2 linked regions of the Struthio camelus genome follow. The protein of the gene in region 1 interacts with the protein of each later gene in a pairwise test. Links are inferred from orthologs where the notes say so. Each region holds a gene or a part of one and is shown on either strand. Other genes may lie near its edges.

Evidence for each region.
Region 2: the proteins of RUFY1 (region 1) and RAB3IP interact in binary tests that used the Homo sapiens proteins (3 or more experiments, as listed by UniProt). The two-hybrid records come from large-scale screens. The link is inferred for Struthio camelus from reciprocal best matches to the Homo sapiens genes RUFY1 and RAB3IP.

What each region holds. Positions count from the first base shown.
Region 1 is NC_090954.1:6,832,891-6,843,997, forward strand, and holds the start of RUFY1 (RUN and FYVE domain-containing protein 1), read left to right. Parts: upstream 1-6,394; 5' UTR 6,395-6,414; coding exon 6,415-6,679; intron 6,680-9,393; exon of another isoform or gene 9,394-9,773; intron 9,774-10,391; coding exon 10,392-10,565; intron 10,566-10,881; coding exon 10,882-10,999; intron 11,000-11,107. UniProt on the Homo sapiens protein: Activating adapter involved in cargo sorting from early/recycling endosomes. Regulates retrieval of proteins from endosomes to the trans-Golgi network through interaction with the dynein-dynactin complex.
Region 2 is NC_090942.1:40,820,187-40,830,419, forward strand, and holds the start of RAB3IP (rab-3A-interacting protein), read left to right. Parts: upstream 1-5,493; 5' UTR 5,494-5,593; intron 5,594-10,233. UniProt on the Homo sapiens protein: Guanine nucleotide exchange factor (GEF) which may activate RAB8A and RAB8B. Promotes the exchange of GDP to GTP, converting inactive GDP-bound Rab proteins into their active GTP-bound form.

The sequences.
Region 1 (11,107 bases):
GAAGGGGCAGGTGGCCTGGGCTACAAGGGGAAGGAAAGAAAGCTGGAAGTGTAGGTGGATGCCAAAAGGATAGTTAGCAGAAGAAACTTGCGGAACCACTCACACTGATGAAGTGATGATGTCTCAAGATTTCTGAAGCCATGATTTTTGAAGCACATCATGCCATATTATTTTGGGGGGAAATTCCCTTTTAATCAGAGTTTTGCACTTTTTTTCAGCCTTCATGGATAATACATTAAATTTTACATAAGGAATTTTACATATTTTCTTTTAAAAATACAAATAAAAAGTAGTGTTTTGTTTAACATAAAGGTGTTTTTAGACTTGTCTAGGGAACATATTATGCATTTCATCGGCTTATCATATAATCTCTAATAACATTTTCTTCTGTAATTCGCAACATGTTCCTATTACATTAATGGAACAATATGAGCTCCCTTCTTCAGCTAATTAAGTCCCACAGAAGCATTTTCATGCATGTTAGCTGAAGGCTGCATTACATAGCAGAAATGCTGGCATCATATTTCAAAGATACGACATTCACATCCTGTTAGGATTCAGCTTTTAATCCCATTTACAATTCCTTTGACCCTCCATCCCTCAGTACAGTTATTAATTCACACCACTTTTATAAAATCTGCAAAATTATACCTAATCCAAAACTGTCTGCATGCAATAGTAACAAAAGTCAACCTGGGAAAAGCCAAGAAAAGAAAATACATAAGCCGTGAAAAGTGTAATACAAAATAAAAAAGGCACATTTGAAAAAAAGCTAGATATTTACAAGCCAACTCACGCCAGACACAAATATAAAGTCAACTTAGTCCTCCATCAGTTCCACCACCACTCGGAGCTCTTGCTTGTGGATTTACTCACCTTAAGACATGGTCAACTTAGCCTTTCACTTTTCAATTTATAAACAGATCGTGTAAATAGCTGTTTGCAAATTTATAATTACTTTATAATTACTCTTACTTTATAAATGTATTTATAGAGCTAACCTCTTCTCTCAGACTGTAGGTCAGAACTGTTTGGCTCAAATACTATTTAACGAGAACACAGAGCAGGGGAAAAACACACAGGTCATCTAAGTCCATAAATTATCCCATTCAAACAGATGTGCTCTGATTTCTGATGTGGTCTGTAAACTAGACCAAATTCTATCTTTCTTTCCAACTTCCTGACTCCTATAAAGGACTTGCAACATTATGTAACAACCTTTAACAGCCCACATTTTTTGTACAACACTGGCCATTTCAAAATCCCACATGAAACTCTGGAACTAGTAAATGACCCTGAATTCATGCACAGCTAGGGTTACAACAGAGAGTATTCCTAGACATATGTTCACTGCTCACAACTTTGAACCTCCTATAAAAGCCAGGCAACTACTTCCTTTTCCCAAAATGGCTTCTGCTAACACAGCTTATATCGTGGGGGACTGCAACTTTGGGAGCTGCTCAGGTATGCATCTTAGCTTGTTTCTGTCCACATTTAAAATTCTTTTCAAATAAAAAAAAATAAAGGGTGTTTCTAGGATAGTAAGGCTTTTAAATGAAGTACTGCTGTATTGTTGCTTCAGTTCTGTTCCCAGCAGAAGGTTGCATAAAGATGTCCAAAGTTCCCATCTTATTTTAAGATTGGCAAAAAACCTGCTATTTACAGACCCTGCTGGGAAGGTGACACCTCGTGAGCTATTTGCTGTTTCCCAGGTATCTTCACAACATGGTATTTGCTCTTAGTGCCTCGTTGCTATGTTAGAGTCTGCACTATGAATAAAGTAGTGCTGTAGTGTCACCTAGTGGGAAGTTCTGCCAGCTGCCTCTGTATTCACAGTACCACTAAATACTATGTTACAGCACAAACAGGAAAATTGGCAAGTATGTTCTTTTTGCCTGTTTTCTGACATTCCCGCCCCCCTGTCTTTCTATCAAACGCTTTGCTTTTTTTCCAACAAGCCGGTGATAGAGTAGAACAAGACATATACTATGTGTTTTCTCCCCAGTTGTAAATTACTAGTCTAGTTCATTCAGACTGTGTCATTTAATATGTATCCAGATAGTATTTGGCCTTAACTGGCTAATTTCAGTATACATTAAATTCTGTTGCTGTTGTTTTGATTCCAAGTGAATATTTTGACAGACTTTTCTCTTCAGTATTCTACTCTATCTTTTCTTTCTTTACTACAATGATGCACATTACCACCTAGTACTATTTCCATTTCCTCTCAGGGATTTCAATGACTTGTGAAATGACAGTTTCAAGCAGCTGATTCTTTCAGTAGTAACAAGGATTTTTTTCTCAATGATGGCACAAGCTGGTGCATCTGGATCAGGGAACATAAAGTGGTGGTTAAAATAATGAGACTGCTCTGACTTAATACAAGTGCAATAACACAACTGGAAATAATTTGAGGCTTTTAAGCAAGCTCTTTGATTAGAGGTGATTGGAAAGGATGTTAGCTGATTAGCTGCACTGCAGGTGCAATAACAGTTAAACTGTTGTCTCTAAAAGCATAATAACTTAATCACTATGGTATAATGGGGGAATTAAGTTAGTGCTACAGAGTTTTTTCAATGAGTTCCTAAAGGAAATATGCTATCCTTTGCTACTAATACTGCTTTTCCTCAGTTGGCATTCACGTACCTCAGTGCACAAGCAGAAGAATGATTTAAGGCTTCTACGAATGGGAGGGAGGGAATACTGCAACTGAAGCACATAACCCTTTACTGATATGTGACGCTGCTGTAATCACTGGAAGATCATTCTTGATAGCTGCACTATGCGCATGTATAAGCTTATCACATCATACCAGCTGTTCCTCTTGAATGATTCGTCTGAATCTTCTTCTTGATTCCTCTCTTAAAACTGTACAGTGAAATGGTGGCAAAGTTCACTAACTTGAAATCCAGGTGATTCTGAAGTGTTAGTTCCTTCTCTGTACCTTTGACCCGGATCATATAAAGTCTTAAGGACTTGAAGATCATGTTCTTTAAGCTTCTTTTCTTCTAATAAAATCCATACACTTGGGACAAACTAGGATCAAATCACACAAAAATGTAAGCACAATTATTCACATAGGTTCTCCACTGAACTCTACCAGATCAATCTGCAACTTTCAAATACAACTGCTCGTGCTTTGAAAGATTAGAAGTGGAGGAAGGTCTCCTTCCCCAGGAAGCATCCAAATATTAGTAGGTGCTCCACAAAAGATGCAAGCCCCTAGCCAAAAATTTCAGACCGTGAAGACATTTCTGTGCATCAGACCTTTCCTTATGCAGGTGCAAAATGGCTGCTCAGAACTCTGTGGATCCAGTTCCATTCAGCAACCATTGAATCCCTCAGCACTTAAATGCTAACTACTATAAATTGTAGTATAGCTCTGTGAATTCTGTACAATATGCTGTTAAATGCATAAAATGCATTTTTTTTCTTTTGTTACGCCGACTAGAGCAACACTCGGTATTTCCTAATAGTAGCATTGTAAAGGTCTAAAACTTGACTAGTTTATTTGTAAAGCAATCCATGTCTGGCTGGTAGAAGAGGTTAGCGAAATGCAAGGTATAATTAGCAGCTAATCACAAAAGTTCACCCTTTAACAGACAGTGGCATTAGTGCTGTTTTTTAAATATTTCGAGTGCATGACGCATTTGAAATGCTACATGGCAAAAAGGCTTCTTTAAGCCATTACCCCCAAAAGGAATACATCTGATATAAAGGAGAAGAACTAACCAAAGAAACTGTCTTTAAAAAAATCTCTACATGAAAACAAATATCCCTTTCAATATCGCTGAAGGCAAATAATATAGCTTCTCCTATTCTAAAATTATCTTCTACTTTGGATAGCCAGACTGTCAGCTGAAGTGTATAGTTTCCTGATCAAAATAGGAGTCCTTTGGGAATAATCTACTGCTACACTTTAGTCCTCCCATTATTTAAATATGTCAAATACAATTTTTTTTCATTCCCCTAAGAAGGGGGGTAGGGGAGGGAGAGTAAAATCCAACAATGCCATGCAAGAGCTGCATGAAACAGGAGCAGAACTTAACAAAATGTTTTTTAAAAAAAAAAAATTATGAAGCTTTCTCCGAGTTGATATCTGAGGTTAGGACAGACAAAAAATAGGAAGTGAGTAATTTAGTTTCCTGACTGACTTTTCAGTGAATCCTAAAAATGTTTAAGTCCTCAAGAATTCTATTTTTGTAGTTACGCATAACTGATATCTACATACTTCTGCAGACCTTCTAAACAAGCTACGTAATGGACTTTCAAAAGAAAACTTTGTTCATCTGCACACGAATGGCAACAGCTGGACTAGTGGTCTGTAACGAAGAGACTACAGTGATGAAATATCAGTGTCTGCAGAAGACAGAACTAAAAATGTGCCCACTTTCAGAGTTAAAAGTGAAGAGTGTTCTTCATGTGTAGTTCCCCTCTTTGTCAAATACGTGAATTGAAACTAAAGTAATAATCTTTTTTTAAAAAAAAAAAAAAAACACTTAAACTGTATCCTATATAAACTACATCCTCTATGGCTGACTTAAAGGACTCTGGGGCAAATTATTATACTTTGTAAACAAAAAACCTCACTGAGGTAGAGCTCACTTACAATGTTACATGACTTGTTATTTGCTTTAAAATACAAAGAGGTCATTTAATGTTGTCAATGGCCGACTTCCTAAAATTAAAGTCATTTTGACTGAATAGTCATGAATCATATGACTGTGCAGCAAAAAACTTCTACCAGTTTTCTTAGATACTGTATAAAGGCTGCTATTTGATATCCTACAGGCACCAAAATAAAATGACCAAACGTTCCTTTACCATGTACATTAAACTTGTTTCTTTAATTGTAACATACAGAAAGATGATCAAGAGACTATGTCCTAGTTTCACTTCATGTTTTACAAAGTAGCTAACTGTCATGCTAAACCAGGCGATCTGATGAATCATGACCTTATGGGAGCAATATAGTGAGAGAGAAGTAGAAGTCTTGTTTTGCTCGTATTTTCACAGTCACAAAATTTTCATGCCTTGTTCCTGAGCTTTATTGACAATGAAAAGTTGTTCCAAAGCCTAGAATTCTGCTTTGCTTCTCTAGCTAATATTTTTCCTGACTCTAATATTGGGTGGATTGTAAAAGGCAGAAAGTCAAGGTCAAGTCTTACTCAAGTCAAATAAAGGTATATTAATGTAGTCAAATATAATACAAGACCCTATAAAGCTGTTAGATATTACTTCCCTATAAACACACTGTCAAATACTACCTTTAGTCCACAAGATGGAGTAAAATTTGCTTCTGTACCCTGTAGCAAGAGTAGCTAAAAGCCTACACTTATCTTAAATAAATCATGGGTGAATAAAAGGCTGCTGATCTCTGACTTCTCAGCAAAAACATGAGCGTTTCCCTGTGTTCTGTGGAACGTAAGTTGCTAAACTTTCAGTGTCTGAGAAGCCTAGGAGGCAGAATAAATCTTAAAATAGTTTAGAGTAGGAGAACAAATAAGACACAGACCTGAAGATTTCCTTTGCTGCAAGACTACTGAAATTGATCTCCAACTCTGCTGTTCCCTCCCCTCTTTTCCTTCCCCCCCCCCCCCTTCTCACAGTCTGGATATTTCTTAGCAAAAATAAAACAAAGCTAACAAAAAATGCCTTCCTCAGTCAGTATAGCAAGAAGAGCTAATATGCAACATTTACTATATCATGATTAAATGAGTGACGTATCTTGGGGATATACAGCTGCTGGATGGAGAAAATGAATGCTAAACCATGCCTCTGCAGGCTACATTGATATTCGAGACACCTAGTAAGGTCAAACTTTCCAGCTAGCATCAATTCAGTTCTCCTTCATGATAAATCTTTTCTACCAAATGCAGCCAAGCTACGTTAATGAAGCAGCCTTTCTGATTACAGCTATTTTGTAATGTCAGGATGTGAGCGAGCACTTTTCACTGCTCCAGACCTGCCATATGTATCCACTATTTTAATCAAGTTCGGATGGCTTGAGTTATAGACAGAGTAGTATCTCTCTAAGTTGTCATAAAATAATGCAAAAAATGTGGGATTTCAAAGGTTACTGCAAAGATTCTAATTGAAAATAATGTTTAGGAACATAGTATGCAATAAATAACTCCAAGGTGTGTTTTTGGTTACCTCCGTAACTTTGTTTAAAAAGTAAACCTTTACTCCTTCCACGCCTCCCTTCCCCAAGCCTTTAACTTCGAACATCGGGAAAACTGCTCACAGTTCTGGAAAGGCTTGTCTTACAGCCTTGCTTAGGCATGCAACAGTTTTAGAGTCGTTCAGCTTGCTCTTACGTACCTGGCTCCCAAGCTGCAGTGAGAAGGCGGGGGAGGGCGGAGGCCCTGCCAACTCGATTGCTCATGACTAGCGTCATATGACACTTCAAAGATGGCCGAAGGGGAGAGCCCATCTGCCGCGGAACAGAAAGAAGACTTTGAAATTATTGACAAAAACCTGATCCCTAATACCCCTGAGCTGAAAAACGAGGGAAAAGAGAAAACTGCGGAAGAAGCAAGATGGTCTGCTCCCATCTTGTCGCTGGCTAAGAAAGCCTCAGAAAACTTAGCGCTGAGCTATGGCAACGCTCTGAAGTCTGCATCTTTGGTAGGATTCATATCCAAACCAGTCAGCAATGACAACACAGCAAAAACAAGTATGGTTATGTTTATTTAGTAAACTTGCTTTTATGGTGCACAAATAAGTTAGTTAGCTCCCGTAAGTGGCATTTATCAGTGTCAGTGAGGCATTATTATTACTCTGAATTTATTTTTAAAAATCTGATGCTGCGCTATTTAATGGAAGCAAAACTACACAAACACCACAGATGTAGAACTGAACAAAGTATATTCTAACTAGAAAAATCGTAAACTCTGAATATATTCGGAAAATTTGACTTTATTTTCTGTACATAAGGCTTTTGATTACTTTTGCCTTCTCCCTTAAAGTTCTCCTTAGCAGCAGCCTGACTGCACTAGTAGGTGATGTGGCTCATTTCTTATCCTTCCTAGGCGGTTCAGAGAAGGAGCTATACTTGTGGTATGATTTTTTGTGACACAAGGTAGACTAAGACAAAGACTTGTCATGAATTACTTCTTTTTCACTATGCTAAAAATGCCCCCTTAAGTTAACTACAGCTTGCTTTATTAAACATCCATATTTGTGGGTATAACAATCCATATGGATTTACGGAACGAGTCTTTTACAGCTGAACTAAAAGGGCTTTAGTTGGATCCTTATGCGAATTGAATCCTTTGGTACCACCTCAGTGATATTCGGGCACTGGAAACAAAACCATTCAAATGTAGTGGTAACTGGTCACATTAGTCTTGTCCTCCAGGCTTTCAGGCTAGCGCTTAGTGATTTTTTTGGACCAACAGAGCTCAGTTATGGTTCTGACCTTCTTGTTTTTCATGATATTTAGTACTCAAGCTGGAGTTCTCTGGGGATGAATTGTGGCTATGTGGTGAAATAAGCTACTCGTGGTGGGTGGGGGGGGATTTTTTTCAATGAAAATTCCTTGATTTTTGTATAGTCAGGAGAGTTTAAAATAATAATCTAGTTTTCCAGGACACAATTTCGCTTTCCCTGCATCTATTACACAGTCTCAGACCACATTTAACAGATTTGTTTTCTGGATGCCCAGCGTGAGAACCTGGAATCTAACCTGAGGAAGGACAAAATATCCCACTGTCTTCAGGTGCATTGGGATCGCTGCTGTGAACACACATAGTACAACAGCACATGCAGCATTTGCTGGGGGTAGAGGAGAGGGCTGTTAAAACATTCTGCCTGAAATGAGAGTCCCCAGGCTTCATGGGACTTTCACCATAATCTTGCAGCTTCCTATCTGTAAAATGAGGGAATGCAACTCCACCTCACCAGATTATGAACGTATTATCCAAATACTTTGAACAACGTTTATAGAAAATTCCATGAGAAAAATCTGCTTATAACTTATTTAAAAAAAAAAAAAAAGTGAACAGGCACTAGATGACCTATTCTGCCCTCCTGTGTAAAAGGCTTCACCGTTACCCTTGACTGAGAACAGTAAATTTGATTTAAAGCAGGTATTAAATAAATAACCTCTAGTTCTGTGGCCTGCAAGAAGATATGTGGAGTGCTAGTAACTTGTTCCTTGTTGCCCTCTTTTCCAGAGATTTTATAATCTCTACCTGCTACTTCAGGTATGTTGATCACTTGAAAAGTCACCACTGCACACTCCACAGCAAACTGGACAGATAAAAGGAAAGGCACACCATAAAACTAGCGTGTACTACTGATGAAACTGTCCCGCTTGGCTGGAAAGATAGGGAGCTACCAATTTAAATACAAATCAAGAAAGACTTGCAGTTTTATAGACCAAGAGGTGGAGAACAGTCAAGGTTTCTTCATACTTCAGTTTTTTTCCTACCTCAAGGCCTGCTGAATAGTGTGCAGTAAACAAGGCACGGGGGCTTCAAAATGATGTTAAAACAAATCTGTTGAATTGGATGAGGTAAGAGACTGTGTGACGGTGTTTTTAATGACCGCATCATAACGTGTGTGATCTTTTGCACTTAAGTAACTCGATTCCTAATCTTCCAGGCCTTGCTTTGGTAGATCGCGCTGTTCTAGTATCTGGCTTTTTTGCATGTACCAACTTGTACATGGTTTTAGAAAAGATGCACTTGACTGTCCAACCTTGCAACTGTTTAAAAAATAGTTCAGATTGTACTAACTAGTACTTAGTACAAATGCTTATGAAGACATGGTTTACATTTAAATTTTTGTTCATAAATAAATTATCATTCACAAAATTCGTTTAAAAAAAGACTTGTGGCTGATATGATACCTAGCCCTTGAGCAAAGCTCACAAGCAAAACATGCCTGACAAGTAAAAATCCAGTCTCAGGAAATCGTCAAAATAACTCGATGAGTTGCCATTGAAGCATCCTAACATCTAAGCAAGGCCACTGATTTCCTATTTCCATAGTCAGCCTTTTTTCTGTTCCTAACGTGTAGCCTGGCAATACTGACATCAACATTTAAAAATATTACAACCCTTCTAATTCTCAGTCTCATCTCGGACATTATAAGCAGTTTTGAGGCATCCACTATACTGACTGTAGATAGTGATATGTTGGAAACAGCCTATGGAGAAGATAGGATTTTATGTGCTTCTTCTTGAGACTGACTTGAATTTGGATGAGAACGACTCCCTGTTTTGACTCTTCTGATATGGAAGACTTTTGTTCACTAGTAACCCTGAATTAACATTCTGTGCACGATAAGGAAGGTAATCATGAAAATTAGTACTCAAAAGACTTTTGCATGCTGTTAGGAATAGCATTAGCAATCTCACATGTGACTGAGGCGGGGGCTCTCTACCTGTTAAACTTGGTCTTCTGTGACTGCTATTTCTGCAGGGGGTATTACCATGTTTGATCCGCAGATGCGAGCAGGATTCTCCTAATGCAACATCGTTGGCTCAAAAGACCATTTAGCCATGGGTCTGCGGTTGGCAGCATCTGCCAGAACCTGCGTTGGCTGAGGATAAGCCGTGGCTGGCAGCCTGTTTCTGTCTCGACCCTCCTCTCCTTTTAAAAGGAGGAGCGCTGCCCTGTGCCGTTAGGGGAAGCGGGGCAGAGCGCCCCTCAGAAGCAGGGCTCGGCGCTGAGGGAAGCGGGGACGGCGCTCAGCACCGCCGTCCGCGGAGCGGCGCGGCAGGCCGAGCAGGCTGCGGCCTCCCTGGGCTGCGGGAGTTCAGGGTGCAGTACTCACCCTTCCCCCCACCCCCGTCCTAAATAGCTGCAGCTGCCTTTCGGGAAGGCGAGGGGGAGCCGCAGTACCTGCCTGGCGAGCCGGGGCAGGAATAACGCAAAGCGCCCACTCCCCCAGCGCCGCGCAGGGGAAAACCCTTTCTAAAATGGCGCCTGCCGCCAGGCGCGCCTCGTCCCGGGCTCGCTGGGTCTCGCGAGAGTTCCCGGGCGCGGAGGGGGTGGGGGGGGGGGCGGCTCTGTTTCCGTGGCAACGCGGGGCGCCGGGGGAGCCGGTCCGCAGCGCCCCCGCGGGGAAGGGCCGCCGGCCCGGGCCGCCCCTCGCACCGGCACCGGCTCCGCCAGGGCAGGAGCCCCCGCCGCTGCCCGGGGCCTGGCGATAACCCTCGAGCCCCTCACAGAGGCTGTCCGCGGCGGAGGGGGGGTCACCCCGGCCTTGTTTTTGTGCCCCCGCGCCCCTACAGCCGTTCCCTCGGACAAGAAGGAGACCAAGCCGGCGGCACTGCTCTCATCGCTGCTGTGACAGCCAGAAAGGGGAGCCTGCGTTTCTAAAAAACAATTTAAAAAAAAATCATTTTTTCTTTTCCCACCTGTGTCTCCCCTGCCTAGCTGTCCGCTGCCACGCGATGGAGGAGCGCGCAAACCTCATGAACATGATGAAGCTCAGTATCAAAACCCTGATCCAGTCAGCCCTGAGCCTGGGCCGGACCCTGGACTCGGACTTCCCTCCCTTGCAGCAGTTCTTCGTGGTGCTGGAGCACTGCCTCAAGCACGGGCTGAAAGGTGAGCGCCCGCCGCGACGCCCGGAGGGGAGGCGGATAAACGAGGCCGCGTCCTGTCTCGCTGCCTTTTCAGTTAATATGGCATTAATTGCACGCACTATAAGCTACTAATCAGTACTCCTGATATTCCTGTGTGCTTACCTTCTGATATGCCCTATGTTGTCCGCCACCTAAACAGTCAAGGGTCTTTTAATGCCCCATTTACGTACCAGGAGGTGGTAAGATGAAGTTAAGTGTCGACTAAAATTTGTGACTCTGGAGTTGGAGGCAGAAGCCTGTTACTTTTCCTCACAAACGTCTCTGTATATTCTCTTTAGTGAAGAAGACTTTTATTGGACAGAACAAATCATTTTTTGGTCCTTTGGAGCTAGTGGAAAAGCTTTGTCCTGAAGCATCAGATATAGCAACTAGTGTTAAAAATCTGCCAGAATTGAAGTAAGTTGATTATTGGGGATGATACAATTCACTTACACCTCTGGGGAAAAAGAATCCTTCCTAAACTCTCTCACCTTGCCTTATTGAGATCTTATTCCCAAAGAGAAA
Region 2 (10,233 bases), on another chromosome or scaffold:
GGGACTGAACTGGTTATGGGTCTTGGTTTTGCAACAGATTTGCTGCGTGCTTTGAGCGAATCATTTAAGTCATTCCAAGACAAAAAGCAAATTCCAAGAAGCAATATATGTGATACACCTAGACTTAGGTAAGGCTTTAGAAACTGCCTCCTATGACATCTCATAAAAAAGTGAGGGAAACTGTCCAGCGCAAACTGCTGCAAAGTCGGTGCATGACTGATCTGAAAACTGTTCTCAAAGCATGCTTTTAAATAACTTCTTGTTAAAGTAAAGCAACTTTTCTCAGGGGATCATCCAGGTTCTGATAGTGTGTAATACTTTAATTAAGGACTTAGTTGATAGAAGAGGGAGTACGCTTATTAAATTTGCAAGATATGAAGAGCCATAAGCATTTTTTCAGAACAGGATTAGAATTCAGTAAGAATCAATGGACTTAGAAACAAGTTCCCAAGCCAAGTCACAAACATGAGTTGGAGAAAGGCTGGTTAAGCATCATTCTGCTACCATAAAAACAAAACAAACAAACAAACAAAACAGAACAAAAATCCTAAGCCTTTTGCTGGGAAATACAAGCAGGTGTGTGATATGTTAGAGCCAATGCTGTTAAGACCTCATCTGGAGTACTGTGCCTAGGTCTGCACACTGTTCATTTACAAAGATGAGGACCAACTGGAGGAAGCCCAGAGAGATCAATAAAAGCAACTGGAAGTCTAAAAATTGTGACCTACAAGGAAGGATTAAAAGAACGGTGTTTGTTTAGTCTTCCAGTAAAACGAGGGGTAGATGATGTCTTCAAATATGCTAAAGATTCTTGCTTCCAGCATCCACTGAGATAAGCTCATTACTTCTTGTCCTCGTTTCCAGCAAAGGCGATTAGGTTAGACTTCAGAAAACATTTCTATCTCCAAGGGTAGTTCAGCGCTTGAATACATTGCTTAGGGAGGCTGTGGAATCTCCATTACCAGAAATTTTGAGAAACAGGCTATATGTCAGGAGTATTTAACATCAATCCTGTCTATTTGCTCTTATTCTGGAGGGGTTTTTTAGTGGATAAATTTGAAGAAAAATAAGGTCTCATTGGTTTTAATGTTCTATCAGTTAAATCAGGGGCAGTAAAGACAAAAGCCGTGGTTTTAGCACTCCCATAGCTGGATGCTTATTTATACCAATGTACCAATTAGATTTGCTTTCCAAAAGCTTAGCTAAAATGCTGACGAAATATGCCTGATTGGGGAAGTCTTGTCTATGCCACGGTTCCCAAAACTGCTAGCACTGGTTCAGCTGAACTAGCAGAAGGAAAAAAAAATCTCTAGTGTAGATAAGATTTATAGTCTCTGTACCTTAGTTTCCTTATATGTACATAGTAGAACATTTATTGGCTTCTCTTCACTGTCCTATGGTGTTGCAATGCATGTACGACTTCTATTAATAGATTTATCCCTTGGTTTGCCTGAGTTTATTGTTTTGTAATACCTTCTTTGAAAGTGAGGTAATAATTAGTTTATGCAATATTAAAAGCTAACAAAAGAAACAAGCAAGAAGTACCTCAAGGAAGTAGAAAATAGAGTCCAACCTTATCTGCTTTATTTATCTGTGAAATTGCTGAGGCATCCTTCCCTACCACACACTCGAACACCTTCTCTTGAGAAAACCACCACCTCATTCTTCTTAGTCCTCCCAGCCTGCAGGAGGAACAGTTTGACTAGCCAGTGTTTGTGCCTGTGAGTACATGTAAGAAGCCTTTATTAAAGTCAAGTCAGATCAAAGGGAAACACTGCACTTCACTTTAAAATCCTGCAGTCATTCTTGGCTTTTAGCAGAGAAGCCTGCTACAGTCTGGGCCTAGCCTCTGTGAAGCATCTTTTTCCCCTGTGCTTTTTCCTCACCGAGACTGATTTTCCTCACTGAAATATAGTCCAGTGAAAGGTAACTATTAGGGAAGAATACAGCTGCATTTGGAGACACGCTCTCTCACACCAGTGGTTTAAATGTAATAGAGGATTTGGACAGACAAAGATGCTGTAGTCAGAGGGATTGTGTGCAGTGAGGGAATATGTTTGCGAAAATATTCACCACATTTTGCACCAGTATGTCTGGACAGAAGCTACAGCAATGAGTCTGTCAGTTATCAGTATATGGACTGCTGAGACCGAGTCTGACTGCAGCAAGATAGGATGCAGCTTTCTATCTAGCTGGAGAATGTGAATTTCTATTTTGGGGCATCTAACCACACTAAGGAGTCCAAAAGGAACATAGGAAATGATTCAACAAGCTGAGTAAATAGATTTTCTAGGAGCAGCAAATACTGAAACAACGCAATTGCAGAAAATTCCATCCTCCACGTTTTATATATTGTGCAGTTTTGTTGAAAGGTCCTGTCAGACTACATCTGTTTATTCAGAGACAGCATTCATGGCATATTTTATTCCAGCAAAGCTGTAAACTGTACCTCACTTTCTACTGGCCACAGTGGCTTTGCTCATTTAAAAGAACAGCCATGTATGTTTTTGCTTATAAAAGGACTTTCAGTTTTCCTGATGGTGTCTAATTGCCAGGACCCTGATGGCACTACTAGGCCTTAATTGTCCTGACCAGCTTCACCTGGGATCTCCACCCAAGCACCCTTTTTCCATAGTGGGGAGGGGCTCTAGGGGCTTCATTTAAGCTTGGGTTTGGGACTGCAGGTTTTGCCTGAGCTGTGTTTTGGGTGAGCCTGTCTCTGTTCCTTCCCCCTTGGACGAAGCTCATACCTACATTGTAGGTGGCTTGGTCTTTGGTCCTGTCTTCTGCTGTTCCTGGGTGGACTTCTAGGATGGATCCTGGACGTGATTCAAAATCTCACCTTTTCTGATGGTCACTAGATGAATGACAGAAACTGTTGCTGTCACCATCCCAGCCCTGTGCATGACTGTGCCCTTGCCGGTTGGGGCCACCCTTGGTCCCAACTAGTTATCCACGGTGGAGTGGCCCCATTCTTGCTGTTCCCTGGTGCTGATGTGCAGCTCAGGAAGAAACCAAAGGTTGCCTAAAAGTACTCTTTTAAAACAGATTTTTTTCTTGAAAAGAGACTCTAATTTTTATTAATATATTTGAACTTGATCCTAGTTGTTTCAACTTCTAATTTTAACCATGTAAGTTATATTTTCTACAGTTTCTTGCCATCTGACTTTTCAAAGTATCATACATAGCAAAATATAGGAATACTTTGACAAAATAAATCTGTTCATGATTAATTTTAGCACAACCAAATACCTTTAGAACTGTATGGCTTTTATTTCTTGAAATGCAAGACATCTAATCTGGTTAGAACAGCAGACTGTCATGCCAAGTACAGTCATTCTACAGGATTAAGAACTATAGGATTACAGATCCTAATTATAGACTCTTGTCAGTTTACTAAATCCTGATACATTGTTTCCAACTTCTGATTCCACTTGTCAGGTCTCTTTTGCAATCATGTTTTTAATGAACTTTCTGATGTATCTTCTAACTTCAGAAACCTGTATTCTGATAGCACTGACTGGTCTCTATTGTATGTTTAAAGGTCGGAGCACCAAGACCTGAGCATCTCCACTCTGAGGCTTTTCACAACAAACTTCAAATTATACTGTTATTCAACTACACCACTTTCTGCTCTACTTGGTTCATTGGTTTTAGATTACTTCCCGAGAAGCAGTTGATGATGATTCTATGTAGCTTTTTTTTTTTTTTGGCTGCCTGACCGCTCCCCACCCCACCTGCGGTCAGTGTAGATTTATGCACTGAAGATCATTTTAAAAGATACTACTATTTATAGGTAATATATTTATGATGAATGACATTGATATCTTTGTCTTTTGACATCTTCTTTGTCATATTATTTTGCCCTCAATGAACTTTTTGCTTTGTGGAAGCTATGGTTAAGAACATTATTTGTCCAATTGTCGATAGCTGTGTCCTGCAGGACTGGTCAAGCAGCATTCTTTCACATTCAGTGGAAAGCTGTCAAGATAATTAACCTTTCAATAATTGACTGGAATGTGGCCTAGATTCTTTAACTGATGAATGGGGCGATCTTATTTACATTAGGATTTTTTTTGCTAAAGTTACTTACCAGTGCAGCACTCAGTTCAGCTGCTACTGACAATAAGCAATAATAAGCAATGATACAGTCAATACTGCTGTCATTTGAAGCATAAGTTTTGGCTGCCTAATCAGAACAGTGGTAAAATGGAGTCTTGTTTATAGAGACCTTCTAATGTTTTGACTACTGATTCTAAAAGCAATATACAGACTGGGACTTCAAAAGGAAAAAGGGAAGGCTACATGTTAACTGCCACAAAGTCAGAAAATTGCCTGAACTATAGTAGTTGTCACGGTTGCAGTAACGATGGTTTAAGGACATAGTCAAGCCAAGATTAGAAGTAATAGTAATAACTTCTTATTGGACAAACTAGTAAAGCTGGAAAAACAAAGCTTTTTTTTAATAATAGTCTTTTTTAGTTATGGGACCTTATTTCATCATTCCTGTGCATATGCATTATAGTTCAGTCTTTTATTACATATATTAGACAGGAGTAGGCCCTCATTTAGGGAGATGCATGCCCCATGAATGAAAATCCCTGGGTAAGTATCAGGTTTCTCATTTTTGATTGTGCAGTCCTGTAACTTTATTACTGTATACCAATTAAATACAGAACTACTCATTTCCTTGCTTTTTTTTCCCCCCCCTCAAAGATGCTCCAGGTAACAAAACACTCAGACTTTGACAATCTTGTCCTCACCTGCCTGTGAACAAAAGTGATGTTTTAGCCCTCTTTTCCAGCTCACCATCAGAGGAGCTAAGTATTGACAAACCACTTCCAAAGTCACAACTCTACCTGTAGTTTGCCTTCTCGCAAACCGCAGCACCTAAGACAGTTTATGCTGTGCACCACTTCAACGGTGAGTATTCAGTATTTTTTCAAGTTGGGCCTGAAAACGATGAGCTGGGAGCGCGTTGTGGCCAGAGCATCAGCCAGGAGAGTCCTTGGTGCTGCTGGCAGTCGAGGGAAGGTGACGGCGAGCCCGGAGCAGACCCGCTGCAGCCATCAGAGCGGCAGAAGAGCCGGGAACGGGCCCACTCCGGCCGTGTAGCTTGTCCTCCCCCCTCAGCCCGCGCCTCCTTTCCTCTAGCCCTTGGGAACGCGACTTGTTTGCCGACAGCGCGACAAGCCGAGGGCCGGGTGAGGCAGGGGCCGCCCTACGAGCCTCCTTTAAGGTGTTTCGAGTCGCTGGCGAGGCCGGCTGCTCCCGCTCAACAGCGTGGGGCGCTTCCCGAGGACAAGAGGCAACTCCGGGGGGGGGGGAGGGGAATGGAGACCAGGCCCCACAGAGGCTGCTGGCGGAGGCGAGCCGCCGCCCCACCCCCTTCCCGCCGGGGCTGGCGGTTGGGGCGACGGTTAAACCCCTCCCCGGGCGGGGTCTCGCGCACCTGCCTGCCTCCCGCCCCCGGCGGGTGGGGCGCATGCGCAGTGGTTGCGAGGCGTCCCGCCCCCTCCAGTCCCCCCCCCCACCGGCGAGGTTGGCTGAGGGGACGCGGTGCGGAGACGGCCGCTCTCGCTGGGCTCGGCAGGTGAGTGGCGGCGGTGCCCCCCCCCCCCCCCCCCATCGTGGGGCCCCACCGCGCCTGTCCGGTGCGGAGCCGCCGGCGGGCTTCCCGGTGCCGGCCGGCTGTGGGGCGGGCTCTGCGCCCGCTGCCGGGGCCAGCTTGGCGGGGAGGCGTCGTGCGCCCGGCGCGGCGCGGCTCGTTCCCGGTGCCGTTGGCTTGAACCGCGGTCGGCAGCGAAGTCGCTTGGGGTGGGGGGAGGGGAGCCCCCGGGCCGGGGGGCTGCGGGGCGGCGGTGCCGGCCGGCAGGGAGGGCTGACGGTTGGCGTTAGTTAGCGTGAGGGGGAGCCGCGCTCGGGCTAGCACTGCTCGCAAGCGCTTCCCCGTGCCCGGCGGGGCAGCGCGGCCGGCTCCGGGCGGGGGTCCGCGGAGGGAGGGCGGGCGGCGGCGCGGCCCGAGGGCTGGGGCGAGGCGCGGTCGGCGCGGTGGCGGGCTGGTTTCGGCGCGGTTCCGACCGCTCCGCGGTCTGCGAGCGCTGCCGAGGCTGACGGCGGGCCCGCGGCTCGGCGGCCACTGCGTACTGCTGCAGCAGCTCAGGAGCGGGGATTTGCAGCTCGCCGTCGTTTCTTAACGCGATTACGCTGGAGAGCAAGGCGCGCGGAGGGAATTCTGGTTGCGAGTTGGTGGCAAGGCGGTGAGCGGTGCGGAAGCGTTGCGCTGCCGACGTGCTCGCGCTCTGCTGGGGGCTCCCTGATACTCGTAGGACTCCAGGAAGCAGGGGCACACCAAGCGCAAGATCCTGGACGATGCCGTAAACTCAGAAGTACTGCTGACAAAAAGCAACCGGGTTTTCATCAGTTTGGAAGTGTGGTCCGCTTTGTTTGCGGATGGCTTACTTGACTGTGTGCTCGCTGATTTGTTCGTTGTGTTCATCTGTAAGCATCTTCCGCAGAAAATCTGAGAAACGGTGATCTAGGTAGTTAAGACTAGCAGTATTTGTGATTACCAGCTTCTCTTTAGGAGCAGACGAAAGGTTATTCAATCTAGAAGCATGCAGTGGCAGCTACCATCTGTTCGAATATTTACATTCCTCAGTAAAATAAGGGAAGAACCTTAGCTCTTGTTGCTTTAATATTTTTATTGTTGTTTTCATTTTATTATAGATTGGTTTAATGAGGTCTGGGGTGGGTTAAAATCAGGCCTTTTGTATTTCTGTCTCAGCGGTCGCTCTTCTGCTGCGCTTGGTTAATGTTACCTAGTGAGCAAAGAAGGATGAATAATTTACCATTCTCATTATGCTTTTAATAAATAACAAATGTGAGTGCACCTCACAGCTGCAACTGAAATATCCATCTTGTTACAGTATATTTAAAAGGGTAAATTTTTCTATAAGGAAAGTTAAAATAAATCTTCTGATTACAAACTACACCTATCTTCATAGCTGTATTGACTTCATTTAAAATTAATTTTAAAATGCTAAATAAACTGCTCTCATAGCTATTCCAATTAAATTTATGGATTTTCTCAGAAAACATGTACTTTGGATTTTTATTTTTAAGAGCCTTTTAAATATGGTGCTTAAAGTCTTGTCTACTGTAACTTTGCCAAAACTTAAAGTTTAAGACACTTCAATTACACGTAGTATGGTAACCAGTTTTTTCAGAAATTAAGAAAATGAAATATTTCCTTAATGCGTTTACAGATAGCTTTAGAAGGCTTTGCAAAAACCGTGAAAACTGTAATCATTTTTATTTATTAATAAAATATTTTTAGTGTTAATTAAAAAATGAAAGGGTTACTTTAGTTGAAGTTTTGGCAAGAGTTGTGATGCTGTCAGTCAGTGTGATCAGGCTTAAAACCGATAAGGTGTTGTAAAGCTGTTTCCAAAACAAGGCAGAACAGTGCTGTGCCTTAAAAAGAGCAGTATCTGGAAAGAGATGAATATTCACAGTAAAACTAACTTGGTTTAGAGAGGCTTTTGGAACCGAACAGCATTCACTGAATGTTTGTTTATAATAAAATTTCCAAGCATTATACCTTGCAAAGCACTGATTTTTTTTTTTTCCTCTCTCTCTAGTAAAAGGTATACTGGATTCTAGACTGCATTTATAGGTTTCACAAACACTTCATAAATATAGATCTTTGAATCTTGCCTGCTACTTATTTTTGTAAGAGATAAAACACTTGCAGTCACCTGTACTTTTCTAGATGAAGCTATCCCAATGATAACACTTTCAAATGAGATTTTTAATCATCAGTTCAGCAAAACAAAAATTCTTTTAATGGACTTGATAAAATCTTGTTATCAAATAGGTTAAATATTTCTTTAAAACAGCGTGAAAAATTGTTTTGTATGTCTAATATGAGAGTACAGAATATAAAAGACCCTGATCATAGTGACTTCATATGGCATAACTAATAGAAATATGATAGGAAAAAAACCCTGTTGAACTGAACTGAACCTTTTTTTTTTTTTGCTTGTTCTTTAAACTTTCCTCACTGTTTCTTTTGCTTTTGATAGGTCAATATGTTGTGTAAGATCACTTTCAAATAAAAGTAGAATATCTGAAGACTGGAGTAGTTCAGTGCTCTTCTTTTCTCTCATATCTTGCTGTCTCCCAAATTATGTTCCCTGTTTGGGCTGCTTAAGTAGAAAGTTCCATCATAATTGCAAAACCTTAAAGGTAGGGTAATTTTTCTGTGTCTCTGAAGTAGCTAAAGGCCACGCTATCTTATTTTATCTCTAGTTGTTTTTTATATAATCTTAATAAATCAGACTTGTGAAGAATTTACTTTTATCACAATCTGTTGCATAGTGGTGCTTAAACAAAAACTTCATATCTTGCTTGCAACACTTTAAAGGCTTTGGCTGCTGGCATCTCATTGTTTATGTGGTGGGCAAGGGCTACAGGAGCGCCAAGGTTATTTGGTGAGCTGTAATCCATGCCAAGGTAGATTGGAGGGAGGCAGTGAACCATACTTATGATTCAATTTTGAATTGTTTTCTGTAAACCTTAAGGGAATTCCTATGCCAAATCTTGAATTGTGTTTGTGCAATGAACTAGCATCGATAAGCATTTAAATTTGCTTGAATTTTGTGACTAATGAGTTTTTAAGCTTAAAACACTGTGTAGCCCTGAAGAAAAAACCCTTCAAACTTTTTTTTGTCCATAATTGGATAGGTGTGACTTATACGGGTATTTTAAACCTTAATTTAATATCCTCATAAGCTTTACAGAAATATTATTTTCTTAACTTCCTATGAAAAATACCTGCTTGCATCTGATATCTGTAGGTATAGAGTGGCTGTACTTAATTGGACTGCCTCTTTAAGAGTTACTTCTTAGTCTGCTAGTGTGCTACACTGTCATGCCCTATTCAGTTCTTTAGGACTTAAAGCCTATTAATTTCCAGGTTACATAATGCAAAATATTTCAAGACTTTTTAAAATGTATTTTAACCCTATGGAAAAGAATGCAAGACTAGTAGAGGGCTAATGTCAGTCTTTTTGGAGAACTGGAACAAAATCCACTCTCCTACCCTTAAAAAAAAAGTCAATAAAAGCAGGCTTTGGAGTCTAATAAATGATGTCTTTGAGACTTTATTACTTTTTTGAAAGACCTGCTGTGTGACTATTAAAACACTACAGCTAATATGCACTTTGATATATTTTTTTAAATGCTAATTAAAATTAACTTTTCATCAGAATGTTTAGAAATAGTACCTTTTTTCCCTTATATGATTTTTTTTCCCCCCCTCATTTGAGCAGGTAACAGTTCTGTTGTCATCATGCTTGCGACTGTTAAAGTGAAAATTGAAATTTTGAAGCAACAAATGTTTAGTGATGGTGTTTAATAAATGGACTATTAGTGTTAACCAAGGAAACTGCTTTTAAATACAAGACAGACTGAAGATGACAACTTTGAACAATCTGTGAAAGACTCCAGAGCTTATAGGAGACCGTTTTACATCAGGCTTTTGTTTCAAAAGGAAATAAACCACAATATAATTATTGCTTTTCAGGAAGCCTTTGAGCATTTGGTTTTTGATTGCTTTGGTTCAGACAAGTAGCCAAGCTACTCTTATAGTAACAATAGGCAAACTAGATCAAGCATTTTCATTTGACTACTGTTTGAAAATGTTCAGTTTTAGCTTCCTATTAGAAGCTATGGAGATGTATCATACTGACCTTCAACTGACTTGTTCGCAGTACACTTTTATTTAATATTAGATAAAACAAGACTTGCGCGCAGCTTCCTCAGGGCGTTATGTGGGTAGTTAGCAATCCCAGTGTGATAGTGCAGTGAAAATAAAAAGGTGCAACATTTTGGCAACCTCCACCAAATTTTCATTCTTTCCAGATGAAAGTATAAGGAAACTAATTTATGTTTATATTCCCTGCTGGATTATTACAATATTGAATATTGTATGCCATCCGAACTGCATCCTATCACCTAAAACAAAAATAATCATATATTTGCAAGGCACTAATGCTATTCCAAATTTTCACTCTATATTACTGTGATGTAATAAGTATTAAGATAATTCATGATTTTCTTTATTTAATAACAGCTAGCTGCCCTGGAATATGTCAGAGTATCAGCTTTTGTTCACAGTAGCAGAATTTAGACCCCTAAAGAGTGCTGTGTCAACAGTGTGGTTTTTTA